2 linked regions of the Callithrix jacchus genome follow. The protein of the gene in region 1 interacts with the protein of each later gene in a biochemical or structural test. Links are inferred from orthologs where the notes say so. Each region holds a gene or a part of one and is shown on either strand. Other genes may lie near its edges.

The links.
Region 2: the proteins of RRM1 (region 1) and RRM2 form a complex in vitro, tested with the Homo sapiens proteins (3 studies listed by BioGRID and IntAct). The link is inferred for Callithrix jacchus from reciprocal best matches to the Homo sapiens genes RRM1 and RRM2.

Annotation. Positions count from the first base shown.
Region 1 is NC_133511.1:69,575,241-69,579,068, reverse strand, and holds part of RRM1 (ribonucleoside-diphosphate reductase large subunit), read right to left. Parts: intron 2,804-3,828; coding exon 2,654-2,803; intron 2,448-2,653; coding exon 2,226-2,447; intron 381-2,225; coding exon 304-380; intron 1-303. UniProt on the Homo sapiens protein: Provides the precursors necessary for DNA synthesis. Catalyzes the biosynthesis of deoxyribonucleotides from the corresponding ribonucleotides.
Region 2 is NC_133515.1:104,869,667-104,872,613, reverse strand, and holds part of RRM2 (ribonucleoside-diphosphate reductase subunit M2), read left to right. Parts: intron 1-191; coding exon 192-325; intron 326-2,029; coding exon 2,030-2,124; intron 2,125-2,252; coding exon 2,253-2,386; intron 2,387-2,947. UniProt on the Homo sapiens protein: Provides the precursors necessary for DNA synthesis. Catalyzes the biosynthesis of deoxyribonucleotides from the corresponding ribonucleotides. Inhibits Wnt signaling.

The sequences.
Region 1 (3,828 bases):
AAAAGCCTTAATGAGAAAGAAAAGTACCTAATCTAGGTGTGTTAAGTCCCTAAAATAAGATCAACTAATAATAGTAATTCCTACCATGTACTGAAATGCTTTCATTGTGCCAAGCAACTTACAAGTTACTCTATATATTATTTTACGAAGTCTTCCCAAAATAGCTCTGTGAGATAGGTCATTTTAGCCCCACTTGTAATAAATGAGTTTAAGAAGTTAAACTGACATATCTAACTTCTGAAGAGCCAGAAGGAGAACCTAAACCCTTCTGCCTTCAGAGTTACTTTACATCTCTTCACTTACTTTGCAATCTTCTCCTTGAGAAGCTTCCAGTCCCATAGGTCTGTGGGAGTAACATTCCACATATCATACTGAAGAATCTAAGGAATACACAACTCAAATTTATTCTACAGCAAGTTAAAATTATGACCAAAAAAAAAAAAAAAAAAAAAGACTAGCTGCCATGCCCCACATCCCAAACAAATGCTGTCTTCTAATCGACCTCTATGATGAGGAATACATGCTCTAGAGATTTTCCTGGACAAAATTCCATGTAGTCATATTAATCAGAAGTAGGTTAAGAAAGCTGATTATCCCACATAATATCTACAAACCAGAAAACTCTAACATTCATGAAAGCATGTGGCTGATAACATTTTTTTACAGTAAAACTGTCACTTTAACCTTGTCTTTCTTCATTGCCTTGATCTGTCCCTTGATCTGTTTACTTAGCTAAAAACGCCTATTTTCTAATATCAGCACAGAATAGATTTTCTAATATCAGCAGGAATGTCAGAAATGAAATTAACATTTTATGTAGAAAAGAATCACATTACTGATAATAAAGGCAGAATTCTAAGACAGCTCCCCAGATTCCCACACCTTAGTGCACAGGCTGTTTATAATCTCCACTTGAGTGTGGACATGACCTGAGAATAGGATGGATGTCACTCCAGTGATTATGGCAAAGGTGAAAGGTTTCTGCAGGGGTAATTAAGGTTGCAAATCAGCTGATTGTGAGTTAAATAAAAGGAAGATTACACCAGGAACAGTGATTCATGCCTGTAACCCCAGCACTTAGGGAGTCCGAGGCAGACGGATAACCTGAGGTCAGGAATTTGAGACCAGCCTGGCCAACAGGGTAAAACCCATCTCTACTAAAAATACAAAAATTAGACAGATGAGGTGGCACACACCCATAATCCCAGCTACTTGGGAGACTTGAGGCAGGAGAATCAAATCACTTGAACCTGGGAAGCGGAGGGTGCAGTGATCTGAGATCACACCACACACTCCAGCCTGGGTGACAAAGTGAGACTCTGCCCCCACTAAAAAAGCAGGGGGGAGGTGGAAAGGTGAGAGGGTAATTATCCTATGTAGACCTGACTTATCAGGTGAAAGCCCTCAAAAGAGAGACGAGACTGTGCCCCATTTGAAATGAGAGATTGTCTCCCGACTGGCCTTAAAGAAGCAAGATGCCATGAATTCTCAAAACATATTTTGCCAACAACCAGGTGAGCCTGGAAGAGAACTCTGTGCCTCAGATAAGACCACAGCCCATACCAACATCTTGAACACAGACACAAAAAGGGCCCAGCTAAGTCTGGACTCCTGACCTGCGGAAACTGTGAGATAATGAATGCATGTTTTAATCCACAGAAAACTAACACAAGCAGCATCCCTCTTACATTATTTTAGCAATGACTAGTTCTAAATAAGAGATTAAAACAGAATATCATTTTTACTCCAGAGGACAAAGGTATTAAAGTTTCCTTCAGCTGGTGCAACAAATTACCAAAAACTTGTAAACTTAAAGTAACAAAAATTTATTATCTTATAGGCTGAAGACCAGAAGCCCAAAATCAACATGTTGGGAGGGCCACACTCCCTCCAAAGGCACTAGAAGAGATTCTGTTCCTTGCCTCTTATAGTGGCTATCAGCATTCCACAGCTTGTGGTTTTAACACTCCAATTTCTGCCTTCATAGTCATGTTGCTTCCCCTTCTATGTCTCTTGCCAGACAACTGTCATTAGATTTAGAGCCCACCTGGATGATCTAGGTAAATCGCCTTATCTCAAGGTTCTTAATTACATCTGTAAAAACCCTTTTTTGAATGAAATTCACAGGTTCCAGGAATTAGGATGCGGACATATCCTTTTGTCGGGTGACCATTCAGCCCACTACAGTTACTTATAGGCAAAAACAATTTCATCCATATACTTACTCCTCTGCTAACTGGAGAGCCCTCATAGGTTTCATATGGTCCATGCTCTTTGGCAAGGTCACAGCTGGCTTCCAGGGCTCCGTAATAAATAGTTTCAAAGATCTGCTTATTCAATAACTGAGCTTCTGCACTCTCAAAAGGGTATCTCATCAGGATAAAAGCATCTGCCAGACCTTGTACCCCAATTCCAATGGGGCGATGACGTTTATTTGATAGGCATGCCTTTGTGTCAACAGATTTTAAAGGAGAAAACATTACTGAACAGGAAAAGCAACATTCTACACCAAATGAAAGAGATTACCTCTTTTATCTCAGCTTTCTCACACCATTTTATTGATAACCATTTAAATGATGACTTGCAGATCATGACTGATTCCTTTCAATTTGGATTTCAATCATTGCCAATAAGGAGAGAAATCTATTCATACCTCTGGTACAGGATAGTAGTTTATATCAATAATTTTATTCAAGTTTCGGACAATGACTTTAGTGACTTCAGCTAACTTCTGAAAGTCATATGTGTGTTCTGATGTGACATACATATTCAGGGCCAGGGAAGCCAAATTACAAACAGCAACCTGGAATGTAAAAAAAAAAAAGGTCAAGAATCACACAATTTTTATTTCTACTCTCTGTATCAATCACACCACCACGTGAGCCTCTAAGACTCTCAGACATTAAAATTTTAAATGTTTATATTTGACTTCTCCCTCTTCACCATTCATCAGTCTATTTCTAAATCCCACTGATTCTATTTCAATACCTAATCATATATGTTAGTTATAACATGCATCAGCAAAATAGGTAAGCTAGAGAACCCAGTGTTCCACAGTACACATCTCTATTACCAGACATATATCACACTATGTTATAATTAACATTTTACATACACTTATCTCAGTATTCAGTAGATGACTGCCTGCAATATGGTAGGCACTAGCTACATGTATCTATTTAAAATGAAATAAAATTTGAGTTTTTCAGTTGCACTAGTCATGTTTCAAATGTTCACTAGCTGCCAGATAGAGAATATTTCCATCACTGCAGAAAGTTCTTCAAAACACATGTCTACCTCACCTCACTGAAACTCTGACAAGCTTAGCAACAAAGGATCCTAATTTTTGAATTTCAAAAAAGCTCTTCCAGTGATTCCTCCACTACACTACACTAGGCAGTGAGCTTCTTAACACAAGGATCACATCTTATATATATTTATATTTATAGCACTAGCAACACATCTGGCATACAGTAAGTCTTGATAATGTTGAATGAATATACTTCCTTTTCCATTTGGATTATGACCATTCCAACCCAAAGTCTCAACTTCTCTCACCTGGCATCAGTTGAACTCTTGATGCCCTTCACATCAACTCCATTCTACACATGTTGCCAAATACCTGTTTTTAAAATATAGCTTGGATCACAGAAGTCTAATAAATGCCAGGGAGAAAAATAGGCAGGAAAAGAAGACAGAGAGTACTGGGGATAAAGATGAAGGGGTGTCATTTTTAAACAGAGTTGTCAAGAAAAACTTCACGGAAAATATTGCATATGAACAAAGAACTAACAGGTTAGAAACCAAACTATGTGGCTATGGGGAGAG
Region 2 (2,947 bases), on another chromosome or scaffold:
TTTCTATTTCCTGATCTGTAAATTGAGCATAGGATATAAAATATCACACTTTGTCACAGAATTGTGAAGAATTGGATGAAATATATATAGAAAGAAATCTTACAAGGGTGCAGAACGTGATGCTACCATCCATTGACAAGAGTTGCTGTCGCCAGTTTTTTCTCAAGCTTGACTTTGTGTTTTGCCACTAGGTGGAGCGATTTAGCCAAGAAGTTCAGATCACAGAAGCCCGCTGTTTCTATGGCTTCCAAATTGCCATGGAAAACATTCATTCTGAAATGTATAGTCTCCTTATTGACACTTACATAAAAGATCCCAGCGAAAGGTGCGTATTCAAGTGGTATGCCAAGATTTTTAGGACTCTTTAATTGTTGATTTGTGGCAAAGTTTTAGTTCATCTAGGGATAAAAATGACTCCAGAATGACTAAGCAGACATAGACATTTCCAGCACCCGTGGTCATGTCTGCTCTTAGCAAGGGGCCTAAATTCACTTTATTATTCACGTAGAGTTGTGAAGGTGCTCCACTTTTAGAGTTGGATGCCTACCAATCTAAAGCCTTTTTTTGAAGGAATTCCTACATGTTGGGTAAGACAAACTAAAACCTATGTCTGACCATCTTTGGTCATTTGGTAAATTTGTTGAGAAACTAGAATGTGGGGCTGCAGCAGGATGAAGGGCGGGGAGGACTTCCTGCTGAGGGGTTGCAGTACACTACAGGCAAATAAGAGGAGTTACACAGGCAGAGGCAGCAGTGAGCCCTGAGATGGATTTAGGTATGCAGCAGTTTGACTGAATAAAGATAGCATTAGGTCTGTTTTATGTTTTGGAGATTGATTGGAGGCGATGGGTTAGAAACGGGCTGTTGGAGTAGTCTAGACACTAAGGTCAGCTTTAGGGACTGGAGCCTCCATATGGAGTAGAAGTGGTGAAGCTGAAACCTAATGTGGCTGTTGTAAAATTAGAAGTGCATGAACAGGAAAGTGGTAACTTGAAAGGACTGAAGAAACTCGTTCTGGGTGAAGAGATTTGAATATGTTTATATAGGTGGAAATTGAGAAAAGAAGGCAAAGATTAGGGGTACGACTGGGGGCAAATGACCAGAAGGAGAATGGGTGGATTCAGGAAGTTCTGGGGAAGCCTCAAAAGCAAGGGAGAGGCAGACCCAGGTCTCAAAGAGAAGGACAGTGAGATGGAAAGAGAATAAAAGGCAGCCAAATGTGGTAGTGTGAGTCCCAGCCACTTGGCACAGCGAGGCAGAAGGATGGCTTGAGCCCAGGAGTTTGGTTTTAACATGAGCTATGATTATTTCACTGCACTCTAGCCTGGGCAACAGAGTGAGACCCTCATCCCTTAAATAAATAAACAGAAATGAAAGCTGCCCAATGTCTGGTGACCTTGGCTTCAGAACACAAGGTCATCTGGTAGGAACAGGCTGAGAAATCAGTAGCCTCTCAAGGTGGGCACCAGAAGAGTGGTAAGGGAGACCCACTTAACTAATACCCATGGATTTACTTTGCTGACCTGGGATTGACAGTGTAGGACAGAATTTTAGTAGGAAGCAATCTTTGTTTATTGGTTTAATTATTTTATGATAGAGATGTGGCAATTGGGGCCAAATAATGCACCCAGGGATAGTCTGATAATAGCATGGCAGTTAGGATTTTATGGTTCTTTAAATTTTATGGTTCGTCACATGGAACTATGACCTGGACTTGAAATAATAAAGGCAACAAATGTCCCTGCTGTACTGACCCACGTTTTACTGTTTGTAGACCCTGAAGCTCCATATGAACTACAGATTACCCACATTTGTATTAACGTAAATCAAATGTTGAGACTTTTAAAAGAACACTGGAGGGAAAAGCTGACCAATAAAAATAAAACATTTTGACATGGGTTCTTCCTTTGAGAAGAGAATCAGCAAATACTTGAATTTGGCCTTTGTCCCAGAGCTCTTATCTAGCAGCTGGTAATCGGGGGTCTTTTACTGTAATACTTCAATTGCTGATGCTGTGTGTGCCTACTAGGGAATTTCTCTTCAATGCCATTGAAACGATGCCTTGTGTCAAGAAGAAGGCAGATTGGGCCTTGCGCTGGATTGGGGACAAAGAGGCTACCTATGGTAAGGAGACCCTTGCCCCCACTTCAGCTTGAGCTTCATTTTCCATGTAATGTTACTGGATTGTTGACCCTTCCTATGAATACCAACAGTTACTCACTAGAATCCTATTGCTGTTAACTCTTAAATAGGTGAACGCGTCGTAGCCTTTGCTGCAGTGGAAGGCATCTTCTTTTCTGGTTCTTTTGCATCCATATTCTGGCTCAAGAAACGAGGACTGATGCCTGGCCTCACATTTTCTAATGAACTTATTAGCAGAGATGAGGTGAGTCTGAATCAAATCATAGGGTAACTGGAGTCCCAGACACAACTCGGGCATGCTCTGGCGTTTACTGATGGGGACCTGAGATACTAGATGGCATATATCCATGTTTAATGTGTGAGTTCGACCATACACATACTTGACAAAAGAAGGAAATACTTTAATTTACTGAAATTATTTTACTTGTATTCTCTATAATACATTAGTATATACCTATTGCCTTATAGGCTTTGAATGTGTAAAAAAGTACAAGTTTGTTTTTTGGGGGAACAGAATCTTGCTCTGTCGCCCAGGCTAGACTGCAGTGGTGTGATCTTGGCTCACTGCAATCTCCGCCTTGCAGATTCAAGCGGTTCTCCTGCTTCAGCCTCCCAAGTAGCTGGGATTACAGGCGCCCATCACCATGCAGGGCTAATTTTTGTATTTTTGTAGAGATGGGTTTCACCACATTGGCCAGGCTGGTCTTGAACTCCTGAACTCAGGTGATCCTCCCGCCTTGGCCTCCCAGAGTGCTGGGATTACAGGCACGAGCCACTGTACCTGGCCAAAACTACAAATTCTTAA